Linked DNA regions of Stegostoma tigrinum. The protein of the gene in region 3 purifies or fractionates together with the protein of the main gene of each other region. This does not show direct contact. Links are inferred from orthologs where the notes say so. Each region holds a gene or a part of one and is shown on either strand. Other genes may lie near its edges. The genes, in order: ibtk, rpp40 and pop7.

Region 1 (8,009 bases), on a different chromosome or scaffold from region 3:
AAATTCTCATTTAACTCAAAAGCAATACCCCTTATCAAGCCGTGTCCACTTATTTTACTCTCCCCAAAAGAAAATATCTGCCTGATATCTACTTGCCATTTTCTCTCAGAATAGTAAATAAAAAAACCAAAAAAAAAAAACTACTGGAAATCATGTACGGAAACAGAAGTTGCTGAAAAAGCTCAGCAGGTCTGGCAGTATCCGTGAATAAAAAAAATCCAGAGTTAATGTTTTGGGTCCAGTGATCTTTCCTCAGAACTGTTCTGACAAAGGGTCACCAGACCCAAAATGTTAACTCTGATGTTTTCTTTATTCACCGATGCTGGCAGACCTGTGGAGCTTTTCCAGCAACTTGTTTTTGTTCTCTCAGAATATTGGTTTAATAAGCAAGTCTTTCTGCTAAATTCTAATAGCTTTTATGCTCAAGCTGTCAACTTTTCCTAATAAGACAACCTCTTCATTCCAGGAATCATTGAACCTTCTCTGAACTGTTTCTAACACACTTTTTTTCCCCCAAATAAGGAAAGCAAAACTGTACAGTGTACCTCAGAAGTGACCTGACAAGGCTAGGTACAGCTGCAATAACACGACAAATGAACAAAAAACACTGGTCATAGAGTCCTACAGCACAGAGATGTGCCCTTCAGCCTAAACTGGTCCATGCTGACCAAAATATTCATCCACACTTACACCATTTCCTTGCACTTTGCCCATATCCTTCTGAACCTTTCCTATCCATGTATTCAGCAAATGCCTTTAAATGTTGTTAATGTACCCACTTCAACCTCTTCAGCTGGCAGCACATTCCATATGCCTACCATCCTGTGTGTAAAAGAAGTTGCCCCTCAGATTTTCACGTATTCTTTCCCCTGTTACCTGAAACTGATGCCCGTCAGTCCTCAATTTCCCAAGCCTGGGAAAAAGACCGAGTGCATTCACACTATCCATGCTTCTCATGATCTTGTACACTTCTATAAAAGGTGACCCTTCAGTCTCCTGTGCTCTGAAGAAAGACGTCCTGGCTTGTCCAATGTCTCCATATAACTCAGTCCCTTGAATCCTGGCAACATCCTTGTAAATTTCTTCTGCACTCTTTCCAGCTTAATAACGTCCTTCCTATAGCAAGGTGAACAAAACCGAACACAATACTCCAAGTGCAGCCTCACCAACACCCTGTATATCCCCACATAAAACTTCCCAACATCTATACTCAATGCCTTGACTGATAAAGACGATGTGCCAAAACCCTTTTTCACTGCCCTGTCTATCAGACTCCACTTTCAGAGAACTGTGCACCTGAACTCCAAAAGGTCCCTCGTTTCAATACACTCCTTAAGGCTCTACCATTCACCATGAAACTCCTACCTTGATTTGACTTTCCAAAAAGCAACACCTCATACTTATCAATATTAAACTCCATTTTCCATTTCTGAGCCCAGTTCTCCAGCTGATCAAGATCCTACTGCAATTTCTGATAACCTTCCTCACTGTCCACGATACAGCCTATTTTTGTGTCATTCGCAAACTTACTAATTATGCCTTGTACATTGTCATCCAAATCATTGATATAGATAAACTGCAATGGGCCTCCAGCCCGACAAGCATCCTTCCACTATTACTCTCTGCTTCCTACCATCAAGCCAATTGTATATCCAATTCACCAACTCTTCCTGGATTCCATGCGATCTAACCTTCCAGAGCAGCTACCGTATGGAACCTTATCAAAGGCCTTACTGAAATCCATACAGACCCATATCCGTCCCACCCTGCCCTCATCAACCTTCCTAGTCACTCCAAAGAGCTCTAACAATTCTGTAAAGCATGATCTCCCACACATGAGGCCATACTGACTACTCCCAGTCAAACCCTGCCTTTCTAAATTCATGTATATCTTATCCCCCAGAATCTTTTCAACTAATTTACCTACTACAGATTAAGCTTATTGGTCTATTAATTCCCAGTTTTTTTTCTTTGCAGCCCTTCTTGAATAAGGGCTGCAACATTCGCTACCCTCCAGTCTTCTGGGATGTCAACCATAGCTAACAATAGTGCAAATATATCAGCCAGGGCCCCCTACAATTTCTTCTCTAGCCTCTTGCAGAGATTTTAGATATATTTGCTAAGGACCAAGAGATTTATCCACCTTCATATACTTCCAACACCACCTCTGCTGTGATATGAGCTGCCCCCAAGATAATGCCACTAACTTCCCCAAGTTCCCAAATCATCTCACCTTTCTCCAAAGGAAACACAAGAGAAATATTCAATGATGACCACACCCATCTCCTGCAGTTCCATACATACAGGTTTTTAACTGATCTCTGCATAAATTGGCCAATGTGCAGACACTTGCCTTGTTTGGGTGACAGGAAGAAAGGCAGTGGTGAAGAATTGAATCTCCAGTGGCATTTTTATTTCTGATCACTACTCATGTTAGATTCCCATCTAACATACAGAAGTCTGTGTTCAAATAGGAAGGAGGCCAAGATATGGGAAAGATTTTGCCAAGGAGGTCGTCAGAAGAGAACTAACATTAAATGTTTTGGACTGGTAAAATCTGAACTGTAATTATAGAATTAACACGATTATTACAGTATCAAAACTCCAAGTACGTGTTGCATCGAAACGGAAACAGAACAAGCACTGCAGGCGGTCATATCTATACTAAAACACTCACAGTACTATCCTGTACCAGATCTTTAATCACAATCTCATACCATCAGAAGTTTCTGCAGCCTCGGCCCTGGCCGTAGACGTGGCACAAAGAAAAACACATGCAACATTCGCCCTGGGGAGTGAAGTCAGAAAGAGGAGGGAGAAGAGAGCAGAAAGGACCTGGTCTCCTGGCTCATTGTCCCCCCCGTGACCGGGTCTGCCAAGGGCTGGGCGGCGGAGGGAGGTGTGGGTGGCGGGGGAACAGGGGAAGAACTGTCTCCCTCAGGCCACACCAGCCCTGTTCCTTACCTGTCGCTAGATGAAACGGACACTGTAGAGGGAGAGAGTGGCGGTTGCTGGAGCAGGGAACGAGGACACGGTAACCATGATCACAGACGGCTCCGGCTGGAACTGAAATGTCAGCAATGAGCCGCACTCCCCAACATCATAAACTCCCATTGGCTATGGCTTCAAGGTTCCACTGCTGATTGGCTGTGCACGACACCAACAGTCTCCCTGGTTGCAGCCTGTCTCCAGGTGGAAACTGACAGTCTGGCAGTTTCTAATAATCTGAGTGACGGACAGTCTTGCTTTCTCTGACAGTCTGAGTGACGGACAGTCTGGCTGTCTATAAAGGTCTGAGTGAGGACAGTCTGTATGTCTCTAACAAGTGAGTGACAGATGGTCCGACTGTCTCTAACAGTCTGAGTGTGAGACCACCTGAGTGACTGACAGCCTGGCTGTATCTAACAGTCTGAGTGTATGACCGTCTGATTGTAACAGTCTGAATGACTGAGAGTTTGACTGTGACAGTCAGAGTGGCTGATAGTCTGGCTGTCACTAACAATCTGAGTGACAGCCAGAGTGGCTGACAATCTAGCTGTCACTACAGTCTGAATGACTGACAGTCTGGCTGTCTCTAACCATCTGAGTGAAAGTGACAGGCAGTCTGAGTGTCTAACAGGCTGTTTGAGTAGTTCACAATCTGAGTGACAACCTGAATGACTATTTCCAACAGTTTGCATGTTTTACAGTCTGAGTAACAGTGACAGATAGTCTAAGTAACTGACAGACTGAGTGTCAGACTGTCTGTCACAGTCACTGAGAATGCCTGAGTAACAGAGATGTAGGAAAGATGTTATTAAACATGAAAGGGTTCAGAAAAGATTTACAAGGATGTTGCCAAGGTTTGGAGGTGGTGGAAGCTGGTACAACTAGAATGTTTAAAAGGCATCTGGCTGGATATATGAATAGTAAGGGTTTAGAGGGATATGATCCAAATGCTGGCAAATGCGACTAGATTAATTTAGGATATCTGGTCAGCATGGAAAGGCTGGTCCGAAGGGTCTGTTTCCGTGCTGTACGTGTCTATGACTCCATGTATCTATACGGAGTGCATTAAATGCTTTAAAAAATATACTGTCGCATATAGACATTTCTATATGCTGCTGGGCCTGCTGTGTTCATCCAGCTTCATACTTTTTTATCTTGGATTCTCCAGCATCTACAGTTCCCATTATCACTCATTTCTATATTTTTATCCAGTTTTCGATAAAATGCATCCACATGAGGGATGTTTTGTCATCAAGTGTTTTTTTTTCCCTTTTCAGTTACAGATCCAGAAGAGTAGGAGTGTTGATACTTTTACTTCTCTGGGTCATGGACAGCTGAAAATACAGAGTGGCTAATTGATTGTCTGATCACACAGCATTATTATTCCACACTAAAACACATGGCTACCTTAATTTCAAATAGCCTTCAATTTCTCAGAAAACCTACATCCATTTGTCTCATAAATTGGTTCATTCCCTAAACAGATATAGATTTAGTTGGGAAGTGTTTCCAGTATGTTTTGTTTTATGTTATCCATTAACAAATAACAATGCCTCCTCACTTCTGTCACCTAAACTAGTATGAATATAAGGGGCCGAGGTAACAAATTTCAATATGTTTAAAATCTAGATATTGCACTTAGAAAATGTAATGTTAAAACACCACTCAGATCTCATTCAGAGTTTTTGGTTCAGTATTTGGCACCTTTGTCTGGGTTTAAGCAGGATTAAGAGGCCATTTAATCTCTCCTACTTCTATCTCTTGTTTATAAACTTCAAAAGAACATAGGCTGATGGAATGGCTGGACACAAGGTAAATAAAATGCAATAAAGTAAATTGTGAGTTGATACACATTTGCAGGAAGAATGAAGATAGATTGTACATAGAGATTTTACATGCTAAATGACACAATTTAACAGAAGTGAAAGAAGACAGAGATATAAGTGTGTTTGCACAAATCTCTGAAGGTGACAAGACAGGTCAACAAAGCAATGAACAAATTGTACAGGATCCTGGGCTATTAGTAAGAATGCAGAGTACAGAAATCAGAAGTTTAAGCCAAATTTATAGAAAGCACAAATAAAACACTAGTCCTCCTTAGTTGCAGGATTGTAACCTATTCTGGGCACCTCACTCAAGAAACTATGAAAAGGTTTCACCAAGAATATAAAAGACCAGGACTAGTCTAGCTCTGTGGATGAGAGATTCCAGTTATTTAACAAGACCAGAGAGGCTGGGGTTGTTCTCCTTTGAGCACAGAAGGCTAAGATGAAATTTAGATGTGTTTAAAAAACTAATGAATGTAAATAAGTAAGTAAAAAGAAATGTCTTTCAAATGGGTCAAAGATCAATCTTTTGAGATAAGTTATTTTTCGCAAAAGGACCAGCATTTTTACTGAACAAGTGGTTACAATTTTGAATGCACTGTGTAATGAAACACTGGAAACGGTCTAATCCGTAACCTTCACAAGATAATTTGATAAAAAAAACAGATGTTGTAGTAATATAGGGAAGGAGTGGAGAAGTGGAATTAACAAGATCACACCTTTGGTTACAAACCCCATACAGACTGACAGCTTTCATAAGATGGATTTCCCAACAACCAAAGGAAAGAACAGCAGGACAGGATTTCACCCTTTAAAATACTAACTGTAAAAATGCGAAGTAAAATCGACACAGATCAACAATTAACAGGCAATTAATATATCAAATTAATGAAAAAGCTAACTTTCACAATAACTAAGGAATGCAACTGAAGTATGTCTTATGAAACCTTTTTAACTACACAGAATAAAAACTGAAAGAACTATGGATGCTGTAAATCAGGAACAAAAACAGAAGTTGCTGGAAAAGCTCAGCAGGTCCGGCAGCATCTGTGAGGAAAAAATCAGATTCAACGTTTTGGGTCTGGTGAGGAGGAAGGGTCACTGGACCCGAAATGTTAACTTTCAAAGAAAAATGTCAAAGCTTTCTATGCTCGGTTTGAACAGAATGCCAGCAGTGCTGTGCCACCTGCCGTGATAGACCCAGACACACCTGTTCTCTTGGTCACTGCTGCAGACGTCAGATCGGTTTTCCTGGGAGTCAACCCAGGGAAAGCGATGGACCCAGCCAGTGTCTCTGGCTGTGCACTCAGATCCCGTTCAGACCAACTGGTGGAGGTATTCACTGACATCTTCCACCTCTCCCTCCTACAAACCGAAGTCCCTACCCACTTCAATAAGACCACCACCATCCCAGTACCTAAGAAAGTACATGCAATGTGCCTTAATGACTACTGCCCAATGGCTCTGATCTCAATAATCATAAAGTGCTTCGAGAGGCTGGTCATGGCCCACATCAACTCCAGTCTCCCAACCTGCCTCAATCCCTGACAGTTAGACTAACATGTAACAGGTCCCCAGTGGATTCTATATCCCTAGCTCTCCTCTCATTCCTGGAACATTTGGACAACAAGGACACCAATGTCAGACTTCTGCTCACTGACTACAGCTCCGCCTTCAACACCCATCATCCCCTCCAGGCTGATCTCGAAATTCCGCGACCTTGGTCTCGGCTCTGCCCTCTGCAATTGGATCCTCAGCTTCCTGACCCACAGACTGCAATCAGTGAGGATAGGTAACTGTACCTTCTCAACAATTACACTCGACACCAACCTCCCCCCCCCCCAAGGATACATCTTCAGCCCCCTACTCTACCCCCTGTACACCCACAGTGTGTTGCCAAATTCTGAATGAATGCCATCTACAAGTTCGCTGATGACATCACCGTAGGGGGACAGATATCTAATGATGACGAGTCAAAATACGGAAAGGACATAGATGGCTTGGTGATGTGGTGCAATAAGAACAACTTCACTCTCTCAATGTCGGCCAAACTAAAGAACCGATCATTGACTTCAAAAAGAAAGGAGGGTAATGTGCCAGCATCTACAGAAACAGAGCAGAGGTTGAGAGGATGAAGAGCATCAAGTTCTTCAGAGTGACAATGACCGATAACCTGTCCTGGACTTCCCACAGAGATGCGACAATCAAGAAGGCACAACAATGCCTCTTCTTCCTCAGACAGTTCAGCAAATTTGGTATATCCCTAAGGTCCCTCAGCAACTCCTACAGATGCACAATTAAAAGCATACTGTCCAGGTGCACAACAGCCTGGTATAGCAATTGCTCAGCCCAGGATTGTAGGAAACTACAGAAGGTGGTGTGCACAGCTCACACCATCATGGAAGTCAATCTTCCATCCACGGACTCCCGTTACAAGGCTCGCTGGCATGGAAAAGCTGCTAACATCATCAAAGACACACCGCACCCTGGTAATGATCTCCTACAACTACTTCCTTTCAGCAGAAGATACAAGACCTTGAATGCATGCACCAGCTGATTCAGGAACGGATTTTTCACTGTAACTATTAGACTGATGAATGGCGTCTCTAACCTCAAATAATTCCTGATCTTGTTGACATTGATCTCGCCCAGCACACGCCCTGTGCAATGTAACCTGTACGCCTCTGACTAAGTCTTTTTGGTCAAGTATCCTTGCTTACTACAATCTTCCTGTACCACTTGTAAACAAAACTTTTCACTGAGCTTTGGTACACATGACAATTAATCAATCAAAAAAAGAGTTCTTTGATCAATATCATCCTGCAATGGCCTTGGCACTCTGTCAGGACCACAATTTTATATAATACTTACTTCATTGCATATAGTTGCCCACCTGAATTTTGGATGAGATATATTTTATGCGGAAAGGCGTTAAGATGATGATGATGGTAAAGAAGACATAGGACTTGAGGGTGGCAAGGGCATAGCTTAGACTTGGAATCAATTGGAATCAATGCAGATCAAGAGATGATTGGCCTTTTGCAATGGATAGCACTTGGGTTTTAAAGTCAGCTCAGTTCAAAAGAAACAGATTTTAGTGATTTTTTTTACTACATTTTATTCAAAACCTATTTGATATTGTCCCGAAACATAATTAACAGTAATCCTGCAGCACTCTGAAAATACAGACAGTTA
Region 2 (6,935 bases), on a different chromosome or scaffold from region 3:
AATTTGTTGATGAAGTCAGGTTCAAGCATTCGATGAAGTGGCAACTGCTTTACCAAATAATACTCTCCTAAATTTCTGCAGGCAGCAGTAACTCCTGGTGGTATCACTCCACATTCTGGTATCAAAATTGAGACCTGCAAGAAAATATTTAAACAGCTACAAAAGAAGTTCAACAAAAATAAGATGTAAAATCCATCAATGTGGGTAATATTTTCATAAGGGAAAAGTAAAGTTGCCATAGTCTCAGAGGGCCACAGGATTGCTTTCTCATTAGAGAGAATGACTGATGGTGAGTTTAACCTTAGGGTCACCATGCTTCAGGTGAGGTGCAAGGCTAAGAAGGCACGATCAAGTGGTAACCTCAGCCAATGTGGTAACTGAACATGTATTGTGTAATTCTGCATCGCAAATCAGCCAGCTAGCCAGCTGAGCTTACCACAAAGGACTCTCTTTTTCAACCTCTTCGGCCCATCTCAGGTGTGGTGACCCCCAGGTTAAACCACCACCAGTCATCTCTCTCTAACGACACAGCAGCCCTCTCATCCATTTGGACTATGGCATCTTTACCTTTTAAAAACTACAACAGTTGGCCATCAACCATTATAGCTTGTTGAAGATATTCATCTCTAAAACAAATAAAACCCTAAAAAAAGTTACACAAGGTTTGCCATTGCTTTCATATCAAAATCGTTGACTGTAAAAGCAAGACACTCAATGCAGCCAACTTAGCAAATGCATTACAACATTGAACCCCATTGAACAGGTGTTACTTGGAGCTTCTAATGATGTTGCTAAGTAATTCCCACTGGGGGCACTTACTATTCAATTGCTACCTTTAACATTTGTCATTTCTGAACATCAAAAACACACACAAACATGAAAAAATGCACAAACACAATGCCATTTTCGTTTACAGTGAATTTAACTGCTGACGGAAGTGGTTCTGAAATAGTAAAACAGCACAAGCATTCCAGCCCTGATTGCCCATTTCTTGTACTGTTCCATTCTGTTAAAAAGGTGGTATATAAATACAAATTCACTTGTTGCTGTTTCAGCCTTCAATATTATGGCACTAACAGAAAAGAGAGAAAGAGAGTTTCTATTTCGGGTCAAAGATATTTCTTTGGAGCTTCATTGGTCCAGACAACCTGGACTCTTTCCTACATAAAAAGGTTTAAAATAATCACGAAACCATACAGGAGACAATCCAAGTGAAGCATTGTTGGTAACTAACTAAAACACAATGGGCACCTCCATTTTTTCTACCATTTAGCTGAAGATTTATTAACTGTACCCCTGTCAAACACAGACGTGGGCAGTTATAGACTTAAAGTTATAGAGTTATACAGCACTGAAACAGACCCTTTAGTCCATGCCGACTATAATCCCAACTAAACTAGTCCCACTTGCCTGCACTTGGCCCATATCTCTCCAAGCATTTCTTATTCACATATTTATCTAAATATTTCTTAATCGTAACTATACCCACATCCACAATCTCCTCGGAAGTTCATTCAACACACGAACCACTCTCTGTGAAACAAAATTGCCCCTCATGTCTTTTTTAAATCCTTCTCCTCTCACCTTAAGAATGTGCCCCTAGTCCTGAAACCGCCCACCCTACAGAAAAGACACCTGCTATTCACCTTATCTACTCCCTTCATGATCTTATAAAACTCTTTAAATGTCACCTCTCAACCTTCTATGCCCCAGTGAGAAATGTATCCAGCCTCTCCTTACAACTCAAACCCTCCATTCTCAGCAACATTCTGGTAAATCTCTTTCGAACACTTTCCAGCTTAATAATATCCTTCCTATAACAGGGAGACCTGAACTGAACACAGTACTCTAGAAGAGCCTTCGCCAACATCCTGTACAACCTCAACATAACATCACAACTCCTATACTCACAGATCTAAGCAATGAATGCAATCAGAAATGAAGAGGGTCCCGACCCGAAACTTCAAACTTTCCTGCTCCTCTGATGCTGCTTGGCCTGCTGTGTTCATGCAGCTTCACACCATGTTATCTCAGATTCTCCAGGATCAGCAGTTCCTACTATCTCTGTAACAATTTTAACCCTGCTGCGAAACCTCTTCTAAGGATGCCTTCCTTAAAGAAGCTACTGTACTCTGTCCGAAACATTTCTGAAGCAGTTTCCCAACCAAAACGTCAAGTTTTCCTGTTCCTCTAGGGCTGCTTGGCCTGCTGTGTTCATCCAGCTTCACACCGTGTTATCTCCTATTTTAATTGTATAAGTTTTGTGTTTGTTTGTTTTACCAAAATACAATACATGCAGTTATCCAAATTAAACCCCATTTGACACTCTTCTGCCCATCGAATGAACTGATCAAGATCTCTTTGTAATTTTAGACAGCCTTCTTCAGTGTCGACTATACCACCAATCTTGGTTTCATCTGCAGCTTACTAGCCGTGCTTTCTATATTGTCATCTAAATGATTTATATAAATGATAAGCAGAAGTGGACCTAGCACCGATGTTCCGTTAGAATAAAAGGGAAAGTAATGAGTTCTCCGCTCCCTGTCAATTACCCACCTGGTAGTCATGGCGATCAGACTCCACCCCCTGTCAATCACCCATCAGATAAACATGGCGATTAATCTCCGCCCCCTGTCAATCACCCATCAAAGAAGCATGACGATTAGCCTCCGCCCACTGTCAATCTCCCACCAGGTAGTCATAAAGTTTTCCTGCCCCTGTCAATCACCCACCTGGTAGTTATAGTGATGAGCCTGCACGTGTTTATGGTGTTTTGATTTACTGTGCCTGAAGTTGGATCTTTCACTAACCACTAGGTGCCGCGCGCATTTCTCCACGTTGTGCAGCATCTTCCCAAACTGGGCCACAGCTCCTCGCGCCGTCCGCGAGGGCCGTTTACCGCTTCTCCCCTCGGCAACAGCTCCACGCGCCAGTTAACGACTTTCCCCACTCAGAACCTCTCCGCTTCTTCCCGTCGTCCGCGAGCTCTGGCGCTCCCTTTGGCGCCTCTGGAGAGGAGGGCAGAGTGCACCCTCTGCTGGTTGGAGGCCAAGGTGGAAGAAGAGCCGCGTTTGAATGTTCAGGGCCTGTCTCAAGTCAACACTCGCATTCCCAAAGTAAGAATTGAACCTTTTCATGATCAATGGGCTGAGCCCTGTTTTTCTTAAACAGTTTAGAACCCATTCATTTTCCAGCATGGTTATTGGTAGCAATCAGGACAAGGTACCGAGGTAATTGGCCAATTTTAGTCAAATGTATTCCCCAAGGATCAATCTATTCTGTCAGCTAACTGCTCCATCCTCCAGGCCTCCCCCTTTCTCTTCACTACCCAGTCGAATAATTCTCGACTGTCAGGACAAAGAGCCATTTGTTTCCCACCACCAATGTTTTTCTGACTCGTAAACAGAGGTGCCCGTGAAAAGATTGCCCACAGCCATGTCCTGGGGATGAATCTTCAGTTAGAAACGGGCGTGCTCCAGCATTTAATACAATTCAAACACTTGTCTGCCTTTCACCCACAGACTATTCTCAAAATCCTTCGCACCCCTGGTAGTTAGAAATCTATCAATCTCTACCTTAACCATAGTCAAAGACTGAGCTTCCACAGCATCAAAAAATTCCAGTAACAAACACAGTCACAATCACGGGGTGGCACGATGGCTCAATGTTTGGCACTGCTGCCTCACAGCACCAGGGTCCCGGGTTTGATTCCAGCCTCAGGCGACTGTCTGTGTGGAGTTTGCACATTCTCCCTGTGTCTGCGTGGGTTTCCTCCAAATGCCCACAGTCCAAAGATGTGCAGGCTAGGTGGGTTGGCCATGCTAAATTGCCCATAGCGTTCAGGGATGTGCAAAATCAGGGGGGTTACAGGGTGATGGGTCTGGTTGGAATGCTGTTTAGAGGAGTGGTATGGATGTGTTGGGCTGAATGTCCTGTTTCTGTACTGTAGGGATTCTATTGAATCATCTGAATAGAGTCAGAGAGATGTACAGCACAGAAACCGTCAGTCCAACTCATCCATGCCAACCAGATATCCTAAATTAATCTAGTATTGTTAGGCCCATATCCCTGTAAACCCTTCCTATTCATCTCCCCATCCAGATGTCTTCTAAATGTTGTAAATGTACCATCCTCCACCACTTAATCTGGCAGCTCATTCCATACACACACCACCCTCTGAGAAAAACTTGCCCTTTTGGTCTCTTTTAAATCTTTCCCCTCTCACCTTAAACTTATGTCCTCTAATTTTGAACTCCCCACACTGGGAAAAAGACCTTGCCTACTCACCCCATCTATGCCCCTCATAATTTTCTAAGCCTCTATAAAGGTCACCTCTCAGCCTCCGACACTCCAGGGAAAATAGCCCCAGTCTATTTGGCCTTTCACTTTAGCTCAAAGCCTCCAACCCTAGCCACATCCTTGTAAATCTTTTCTGAACTGTTTCAAGTTTTCCAACATCTTCCCTATAGTCGAGAAATTGAATGCAGTATTCCAAAAGTGGCCGAACCAATGTCCTGTACAGCCACAACATGACTCTCCCAACTGATCAGTAAAGGCAAGCAAAGTTCTGAGGAAGGGTCACTCTGATTTTTTCTTCACAGATACTTCCAGACCTGCTGAGCTTTTCCAGCAACTTCTGTTTTTGTCCCTGATTTACAGTATCCACAGTTCTTTCAGTTTTCATACCATACGCCTTCCTTACCATCCTGTCTACCTATTACTCTACTTTCAAGGAACTATGAACCAGCACTCCAAGGTCTCTTTGTTCAGTAATGCCCTCCAGGACCTAACCATTAAGTATGTAAGTCCTGCCCTGATTTGCCTTTCCAAATGCAGTCCACATTTGTCTAAATTAAACTCCATCTACCATTCCTCCACCTATTTATCTGTCTGATTTGTCCCCTTCGTACTCTGAGGTAATGTTCTTCGCTGTCCACTACACCTCCAATTTTGGTGTCATCTGCGAACTTACTAACAATATGTTCACATCCAAATCATTTATATAAATGACGAACAGCAGTGGACCCAGCACTGATTCTTGTGGAACACAGCTGGTCACAGGCCTCAAGTCTGAATTGCAACCCTCCACCACCACCCTCTGTCTTCTACCTTTGAGTCAGTTCTGTATCCAAACTGCTAGTTTTCCCTTTATGCCATGTGATCTAACCTTGCTAACTAGTTTACCATGATGAATCTCATTGAACACCTTACTGAATCCATATAGATCATATCCACCACTCTGCCTTCATTAGACCTCTGTGACATCTACAAAAACTCAATTAAGTTAGTGAGACATGATTTCCCATGCTCAAAGCCATGTGGACTATCCCTAATCAGTCCTTGCCTTTCCAAATACATGTAAATCCTGTCCCTCAGGATCCTCTACAACATCTGCCCACCACTGATGTCAGGCTAATAAAATGTGAGGCTGGATGAACACAGCAGGCCCAGCAGTATCTCAGGAGCACAAAAGCTGACGTTTCGGGCCTAGACCCTTCATCAGAGAGGGGGATGGGGTAAGGGTTCTGGAATAAATAGGGAGAGAGGGGGAGGCGGACCGAAGATGGAGAGAAAAGAAGATAGGTGGAGAGGAGAGTATAGGTGGAGACGTAGGGAGGGGATAGGTCAGTCCAGGGAAGACGGACAGGTCAAGGAGGTGGGATGAGGTTAGGAGGTAGGAGATGGAGGTGCGGCTTGGGGTGGGAGGAAGCGATGGGTGAGAGGAAGAACAGGTTAGGGAGGCAGAGACAGGTTGGACTGGTTTTGGGATGCAGTGGGTGGAGGGGAAGAGCTGGGCTCGTTGTGTGGTGCAGTGGGGGGAGGGGATGAACTGGGCTGGTTTTGGGATGCGGTGGGGGAAGGGGAGATTTTGAAGCTGGTGAAGTCCACATTGATACCATTGGGCTGCAGGGTTCCCAAGTGGAATATGAGTTGCTGTTCCTGCAACCTTCGGGTGGCATCGTTGTGGCACTGCAGGAGGCCCATGATGGACATGTCATCTAAAGAATGGGAGGGGGAGTGGAAATGGTTTGCGACTGGGAGGTGCAGTTGTTTATTGCGAACCGAGTGGAGGTGTTCTGCAAAGCGGTCCCCAAGCCTCCGCTTGGTTTCCCCAATGTAGAGGAAGCCACACCGGATACAGTGGATGCAGTATACCACATTGGCAGATGTGCAGGTGAACCTCTGCTTAATGTGGAAAGTCATCTTGGGGCCTGGGATAGGGGTGAGAGAGGAGGTGTGGGGGCAAGTATAGCATTTCCTGCGGTTGCAGGGGAAGGTGCCGGGTGTGGTGTGGTTGGAGGGCAGTGTGGAGCGAACAAGGGAGTCATGGAGAGAGTGGTCTCTCCGGAAAGCAGACAGGGGTGGGGATGGAAAAATGTCTTGGGTGGTGGGGTCGGATTGTAGATGGCGGAAGTGTCGGAGGATGATGCATTGTATCCGGAGGTTGGTGGGGTGGTGTGTGAGAACGAGGGGGATCCTCTTTGGGCGGCTGTGGCTGTGGCGGGGGCGGGGTGTGAGGGATGTGTTGCGGGGAATGCGGGAGACGCGGTCAAGGGCGTTCTCGACCACTGTGGGGTGGAAGTTGCGGTCCTTGAAGAACTTGGACATCTGGGATGTGCGGGAGTGGAATGCCTCATCGTGGGAGCAGATGCGGCGGAGGAATTGGGAATAGGGGATGGAATTTTTGCAGGAGGGTGGGTGGGAGGAGGTGTATTCTAGGTAGCTGTGGGAGTCGGTGGGCTTGAAATGGACATCAGTTACAAGCTGGTTGCCTGAGATGGAGACTGAGAGATCCAGGAAGGTGAGGGATGCGCTGGAGATGGCCCAGGTGAACTGAAGGTTGGGGTGGAAGGTGTTGGTGAAGTGGATGAACTGTTCGAGCTCACTGGTCTATAATTCCTCGGCTTTTCCTTACCACCTTTCTTAAATAATAA
Region 3 (8,022 bases):
GCCCATCGAATCCACATTAACCCTCTGAAGAGCATCCCACCCAGATCCACCCCTTTACACTATTTCTGCATTTCCCACTGCCAATCCACTTAGCCTGTACATCCTTAGACACTGTGGGCAATTTAGCCTGGCCAGTCCACCTAATCTGCACATTTTTGGACTGTAGGAGGAAACCAGAGGAAACCCACGCAGACGTGGGGAAAAAAGTGCAAACTCCACACAGACAGTTGCCCGAAAGTGCAATTGAACTCATGTTGCTGGCGCTGGGAGGCACCAGTGCTAACCACCAAGCCACCATGCCACCCTAACTCCACAGGGAGTAAGTCTACTGTTTAAAGATGCACGCTAGGAGAAAACAGGGAACTAAGATCGCTGCCAGATGCTGGCTGACCTCTACCAGAGTCACCCAGGGTTTTCCAAGATGGAGATGCTGGCAAGAAGCTATGTCTGGTGGCCAGGGCTGGATGATGACATAGCTACATTGGTGGAGCAGTGTCCAGAGTGCCAACAAGGACAAAAATTGCCACCAGCAGCACACCATATGCATAGGAATGGCTGGCTAAACCCTGGACTCGGTTGTATATCAACTATTTCGGTCCTTTCTTCGGCTCAATGTTCCTGGTCATTGTGGGCACCCATCCAAAGTGGTTGGACATGCATAAAGTTCATTCAGCAAACTTGGGGATGATAATTGAGAAACTGCGAGCATCATTTGCGATACATGGAGTCCCAGAAGTATTGGTCACGGACAACGGGGTGTCACTCACTGGCAGGAAATCTGAACATATCCTGAAGTTCAGTGGCATTCGGCACACATGGACAGCTCCATAGCATCCATTGCCTAATGGCCTAGAGGAAAGAGCGGTCCAAACATTGAAGGCAGGCTTAAACAAGCAGCCTACAACGTCAGCTGATACCACACTGTCCCGGTTCCTATACAACTATAGGACAACCCCACATGCAACAGCAGGGATAGCTCCAGCAGAGTTGCTGATGTGGAGAAGACTCCCCACCAGGCTTGAACCTGATATTTCCAGACATAGGGGGCAGGGTGAAATGGCAGCAGGAACGTCAATGCTGGCCACATGCTGCCTCTAAGTGAGAGAGACAACTTCATTTACGGAATGAGGTTTGGTGTCAGAACCATGGAAATGGCCCTGTATGGGTACAAGGCGAGGTTGATGTGAGGTCAGGTCAAGTTTGTGTAGGCGTTATAGTCTTGAACAAACACGTGGATCACCTGAAAGCTGTTATCTTTTAAACAGGGCAGGAGCAAAACATACCTGGCTCCTCTGAACAGCCATAAGGCCTGGCAGAAACTGCAGGTTCTCCCCCTTTGTCTAGCGTTGAGGAAACCCCAGAGTTCGAAATAGAAGCAGCCTCAATACTTGCCACCAGAAGAAGAGATAGAGACTGTTCCGAGATGTCCCGGATTGAAGAGACGGGCCCTGGTCCGGTACATGCTGCCTGGGTCCAAGTCCAAGTCAGAGGAACCAGAGGAACATTGCAAGAGAAGCTGCAAGTGGCAGACCAGTCCTACATTCCTGGACTTGAGTTTTGTGTATGTGTGTGTGTGTGTGTGTGTGTGTGTGTGTGTGTGTGTGTGTGTGTGTGTGTGTGGGGCGGGGGGATGGGGTGCGGGGATGGTGGGGGAGGTGGGAGTGGTTGGGACCAAGTGGACCTCATTGACCAAGAGATCATTGATTGGCGTTGTTAACCTATAAAGCCTTGGCTGATTAAAATAACCAGGAGATTAGAATCTCCTCAGTTGAGGATTGACTGTGAATTAGTAAACAAGGGGTGACTTAGTGACAGGACCCAGTCTCTGAGCAGTTATTTCAGATTGGGAAGTATTGATTGATAAAGGGACTTAGGTGCCCTTGTATACCAGTCATTGAAGGCAAACATACAGGTGCCACAAGCACTTAGGAAGGCAAATGGTATGTTGACCTTCATTCACAATGGGCAGCACCATGGCTTCGTGGTTAGCACTGTTGCCTCACAGTACAGGAGACTAGGGTTCAATTCCACCCTCAGGCAACTGTCTGTGTAGAGTTTGTACCTTCTATCTGTGTCTGTTTGGGTTACTTCCAGGTGCTCTGGTTTCCTCCCACAGTCCAAAGATGTGCAGGTTAAGTGGATTGGCTGTGTTAAATTGCGCACAGTGTCCAGAGATGTGCAGGCTAGGTGAATTAGTCAATGGCAAACATGGAGTTACAGGGATTTGGTAGGGCATGTGGGTCTGAATGGGATGCTCTTTGGCAGGTTGGCATGGACTCAATAAGCTGAATGGCCGGCCTCCATATTGTAGGGATTCTATGATACAACAGATTGGAATCCAAAAGCAAGAATGTCTCACTGCAGCTGTACAGTGCTTGGGTGAGACCGTGCCTGGATTATTGTATGCAATTTTGGTCTCCTTACCTAATAAAGAATGTACTTACCATACAGGGAGTACAACAACGGTTCAACAGACTTGTTTTTTGAGAAGAGATTGGGATATTGTATTCTCTGGAGTTCAGAAGAACAAGAGACGATCTCATTAACACATATAAAATTCTGACAGGGCTGGATAGAATGGATACAGAGATGATGTTCCCCCTGACTAGGGGCTCCAGAACAAGGGGTCACAGACTCAGGATTCCAACTAGGCTATTTAAGATTGAAATGAGGAGAAATTTCTTCATTTAGAGGATGATGAACCTGTGGAATTCTGTGCCAAAAATTCTCTGAGCTAATTAGCCTACTCTTCCTCCTAGTTTCTGTGTTCCATGTGCTAATGTATTGTACGATGTAATACTGACATCAGTAGTCATGTGCTGTGGAGACTCTGAGAAAAGAGAAAGGGAGGAACCGCACTACAGAGCAGTATTTTCTACAACAGTATCCAGATAAAAATGCTTATTGGAACTCCAGAGAATTGGGCAATAGTCAGTCATAGATGAAGTAGAGACTGAAATGTAGCAAACTCAGAGTAGGGACAGTTTTGTCTCAGAGCAGTCTGTCCAAGCCGCACACCTGAAATTATCTCACAATTCCTTCACAGATGCTGGATAGACCCCTGAGATTCCCTCCCTAACAGCACTGTGGGAGTACCTACACCACATAGACTGTAGTCGCTCAAGAAAGCATCTCATCACCACCTTCTCCAGGGCAAATAGGGATGGGCCTCAAGTGCTGGTGTAGCTAGTAATGTCCTTATCTCATAAATGAATAGGATAAAAGTCTCAGGCACAATCAAATTTACAAAAAGTAGACTTATTTCACTGGTTTATGGGACAGGATTTTGAGAAGAGTTGCTTTCCTGTGGAAACTTTCAGAAACACCGGGCAAGTGCCTTACAGGTGCTCTCCAAGTACAGTCACTGTTGTAAAGTAAACACGGCAGCCAATGAATGCACAGCATGATCCCTAAAAAAGGAATCTAATAAAGGCTAGACAATACATTCTTCATGCTACTGACAGACATTGGTCAGCACACCAGGTATCACTCCTCTGCTGCTGTTCGAAATCATAGAATTCCCACAGTGTGAAGCAAGCCATTTGGTCTACCAAGTCCACACTGACCCTCCAAAAAGCATCCCACTCAGACTCACCTCCGTACCCTATCCCTGTATTTCCCATGGCTAATCCACCTAACCTGCACATCCCTGGACACCATGGGCAATTTAGTATGGCCAACCAACCTAACCTATACATCTTTGGACTGTGAGATGAAACCAGAACACCCAGAGGAAACCTGTGCAGACATGAGGATAACATGCAAACTTCACACAGACAGTCACCCAAAAATGGAGCCAAACCTGGGTCCCTGGCAGTGGGAGGCAGAAGAGCTAACCACTGAGCTACTATGCGGTCCACCATGCCCATGGGATCTTACACCTTATAGCATCTCAAAGTATGACCCCGACACCACCTAAATTGAAAGCAGGATGATTGTATTCAACATTTTAATAATTAATGTTTGCATTAAAGATAAACATGTATGAAAGCTTATGTTTTTAAACTATTGTATAAAATGTCAATTTTGGTACCTACTCGGCCTCGCTACTCAGTTCCACATAAGAGGAACACGTTACTAATGAGGAGTTCTGAACAGGGACCTCTTCTGAGCACTAACCCTTCCACTCCAACTCCCTAATTGCAACATGACCTCTCTTCCCCATTCACTGACTTTCCGATTGCAGTTCTCCTAGATTGATGTGACCTCATGATATGTGGTATCATGGTCACATCAAGGTACCCTCCCCTCCCAGTGAACTGGGACCGCAATGTGAGATGGGGTCCCCCAGGTTAGAACCAGCCTTGATCCCGGTTGTTTGTCTGGTGGGGCTGCGACACCCCACATGATGCCCATCTAAGACAGCAGCTGGGGCCTGAGTTTTCAATGTCTCAATCAAAAGAAATCACCACTAACATTGCAGCACTCCCTTGGAATCATACTGGGATGTCAGCCTTGATTTTTCATGGAATGTTGGGACCTTCAAGCTCCCGCTGAGACAAAGTGAAAAGTTTGAAAGCATGGAGAGTGTGACTGACTGGAACAATCTACATTGCCCGAATGTCCTCCATCTATATCGCCATGCTTGTGCAACCTATGGGGCCGATAAATGCAATCAGAATGAAGACAGAGTTGATGGATCGAATGGCTTGTTTTGCCCTTGTCACTGTTGCAAAATGAATTACGTCAGTTCTGTGAAGCCGAATCACCTCCAGAGAGCCGATTCCATCTGTGACTGGCAGGGATTCTTTCTTACACACTGCACAAGGCACTGCTTGGACTTAGATTTCAAGGCACAATCTCAAATCCTGGAGACCTTGTGGGTCTGTATTGAATCTGCAGCACACCCTAATGGCCCCCAGTGGTAGTGGATGCAAGTGAATGTGCACAACAAACATATTTCCAGCGCAGAAACGCCTCCGTTGTTTTAAAATAGAGACAGTAGGAACTGCCGATGCTGGAGAATCTGACATAACACGGTGTGAAGCTGGATTAACGCAGCAGGCCAAGCAGTATCAGAGGAGCAGGAAAGTTTGACGTTTCGGGTCGAGACCCTTCTTCAGAAATGTTTTAAAATACACATTCTTTCACAGGCATCACTGTTGTTGCTGCATACTTGTTGTCCTTGAACTGGGTGCCTTGCTACGCCATTTCAGTTGGTGCATGGGTCTGGAGTCACATGTAGGCCGGCAGAGGTAAAAATGGCAGATTTTCTTCCCTTAAGGATGTTGTGAACTAGTGGATTTTTTGACAACTGACGATAGCTGTCACAGTCATCATCAGTAAGGGTATCTTTATATCATAGAACATAGAACATAGAACAGTACAGCACAGAACAGGCCCTTCAGCCCACAATGTTGTGCCGACCATTGATCCTCATGTATGCACCCTCAAATTTCTGTGACCATATGCATGTCCAGCAGTCTCTTAAATGACCCCAATGACCTTGCTTCCACAACTGCTGCTGGCAACGCATTCCAAGCTCTCACAACTCTCTGTGTAAAGAACCAGCCTCTGACATCCGCTCTATACTTTCCACCACCCAGCTTAAAACTATGACCCCTCGTGTTAGCCGTTTCTTCCCTGGGAAATAGTCTCTCTGGCTATCAACTCTATCTATGCCTCTCATTATCTTGTATACCTCAATTAGGTCCCCTCTCCTCCTCCTTTTCTCCAATGAAAAGAGACCGAGCTCAGTCAACGTCTCTTCATAAGATAAGCCCTCCAGCCCAGGCAGCATCCTGGTAAACCTCCTCTGAACCCTCTCCAAAGCATCAACATCTTTCCTATAATAGGGCGACCAGAACTGGATGCAGTATTCCAAGTGCAGTCTAACCAAAGTTTTATAGAGCTGCAACAAGATCTCACGACTCTTAAACTCAGTCCCCCTGTTAATGAAAGCCAAAACACCATGCGCTTTCTAACAACCCTGTCTACTTGGGTGGCCATTTTAAGGGATCTATGTATCTGCACACCAAGATCCCTCTGTTCCTCCACACTGCCAAGAATCCTATCCTTAATCCTGTACTCAGCTTTCAAATTCGACCTTCCAAAATGCATCACCTCGCATTTATCCAGGTTGAACTCCATCTGCCACCTCTCAGCCCATCTCTGCATTCTGTCAATGTCCCGCTGCAGCCTACAACAGCCCTCTATACTGTCAATGACACCTCCAACATTCGTGTCATCTGCAAACTTGCTGACCCATCCTTCAATCCCCTCATCCAAGTCATTAATAAAAATTACAAACAGTAGAGGCCCAAAGACAGAGCCCTGTGGAACCCCACTCACCACTGACTTCCAGGCAGAATACTTTCCTTCTACTACCACTCGCTGTCTTCTGTTGGCCAGCCAATTCTGCATCCAAGCAGCTAAGTTCCCCTGTATCCCATTCCTCCTGACCTTCTGAATGAGCCTACCATGGGGAACCTTATCAAATGCCTTACTGAAGTCCATATACACCACATCCACAGCTCAACCCTCATCAACGTTTCTAGTCACATCCTCAAAGAACTCGATAAGGTTTGTGAAGCATGACCTACCCCTCACAAAGCCGTGTTGACTGTATTTGATCAAGCCATGCTCTTCCAGATGGTCATAAATCTTATCCCTCAGAATCCTTTCTAACACCTTGCAGACGACAGACGTGAGACTTACTCGTCTGTAATTGCTGGGGATTTCCCTATTTCCTTTCTTGAAGAGAGGAATTACATTTGCCTCTCTCCAGTCCTCAGGTACGACTCCAGTGGAGAGCAAGGATGCAAAGATCTTCGCAAGTGGCGAAGCAATTGCATTTCTCGCTTTCCAAAGCAGCCGAGGACAAATCTGGTCCGGGCCTGGCGACTTGTCAATCTTAATGTTTGACAAAATTTTCAGCACATCAGCTTCCTCTATCTCTATCCATTCCAGCATGCACACCTGCTCTTCAAAGGTTTCATTCACTACAAAGTTCGTTTCTTTCGTAAAGACAGAAGCAAAAAACTCATTTAGGGCTTCCCCTACCTCCTCAGACTCCACACACAAGTTCCCTATGCTATCCCTGATCGGCCCTACTCTTTCTTTGACCATTCTCTTATTCCTCACATAAGTGTAAAATGCCGTTGTGTTTTCCCGGATTCCTTCTGCCAAGCCTTTCTCGTGCCCCCTCCTGGCTCTCCTCAGACCATTTTTGAGCTCCTTCCTTGCCTGCGTGTAATCCTCTCTAGCTGAGCTTGACCCTAGCTTCCTCCACCTTATGCAAGCTACCTTCTTCCTTTTCACTAGAAGCTCCACCGGTCTCGTCATCCAAGGTTCCTTTATCTTACCCCTTCTTGCCTGTCTCAGAGGGACATATTTACTCATCACTCGCAACAACTGTTCCTTAAACAGTCTCCACATGTCTATAGTGCCCTTACCATGGAACAATTGCTCCCAGTCCATCCTTCCTAACTCATGTCTAATCTTTAACTTATCTTAGTTCCTCTTTCTGTGTCTCCTTCCAGCCCTGTGGTCATCCAGGGCACTGTCTTGCTCCTGCCCAGCACCGGCCTCTTCCCATTCTTCCCACAATGCCACTGGGACCCTTCCAGGGAAAATTCCAGGGAGGAGCTGGCCTTATCCTGCAATAATGAATTGAATTAAAATTCTTGCTATGTGGGATTTGAACTTTATCCATCAAAACATTAAACTTAAAGCTCTCCAGTAATGTTACCACTAGTCCATTACTCCTCACTCAGTCTACATCAGACCTCTGTCCCACATGAGTCTGCTCCCATAGATTCTCAACACACTCTATCAATGTACCTACATCTATACTTCTCCCTCATACCTAGGTTCCCCATAGCATCAACACTATTTGCTTCAGCTATGGGAGTGAATTCCATCTTCTCCCCACTGCCTGCATCAAGAGGTTTCTGTGGAATTCTTCCCCGGATTTAATAGTAACTGTCTTATATTGATGGCTTACCTACAAGCAGTAACACCTTCCTCACATCCACCCTGTCCACCCTCCCTTATCATTTTAAAGTCCCCAGTCGCTTTGCT

What was found.
Region 1: the proteins of pop7 (region 3) and ibtk purify together in Homo sapiens (affinity purification with mass spectrometry; 3 studies listed by BioGRID and IntAct, with this or other methods). This does not show direct contact. The link is inferred for Stegostoma tigrinum from reciprocal best matches to the Homo sapiens genes POP7 and IBTK.
Region 2: the proteins of pop7 (region 3) and rpp40 purify together in Homo sapiens (co-immunoprecipitation; 4 studies listed by BioGRID and IntAct, with this or other methods). This does not show direct contact. The link is inferred for Stegostoma tigrinum from reciprocal best matches to the Homo sapiens genes POP7 and RPP40.

Annotation. Positions count from the first base shown.
Region 1 is NC_081357.1:38,714,678-38,722,686, forward strand, and holds the start of ibtk (inhibitor of Bruton tyrosine kinase), read right to left. Parts: upstream 3,083-8,009; 5' UTR 2,965-3,082; intron 1-2,964. UniProt on the Homo sapiens protein: Acts as an inhibitor of BTK tyrosine kinase activity, thereby playing a role in B-cell development. Down-regulates BTK kinase activity, leading to interference with BTK-mediated calcium mobilization and NF-kappa-B-driven transcription.
Region 2 is NC_081355.1:11,661,566-11,668,500, reverse strand, and holds the start of rpp40 (ribonuclease P protein subunit p40), read right to left. Parts: upstream 3,004-6,935; 5' UTR 2,850-3,003; coding exon 2,733-2,849; intron 135-2,732; coding exon 1-134. UniProt on the Homo sapiens protein: Component of ribonuclease P, a ribonucleoprotein complex that generates mature tRNA molecules by cleaving their 5'-ends. Also a component of the MRP ribonuclease complex, which cleaves pre-rRNA sequences.
Region 3 is NC_081398.1:7,834,147-7,842,168, reverse strand, and holds the start of pop7 (ribonuclease P protein subunit p20), read left to right. Parts: upstream 1-4,960; 5' UTR 4,961-5,195; intron 5,196-8,022. UniProt on the Homo sapiens protein: Component of ribonuclease P, a ribonucleoprotein complex that generates mature tRNA molecules by cleaving their 5'-ends. Also a component of the MRP ribonuclease complex, which cleaves pre-rRNA sequences.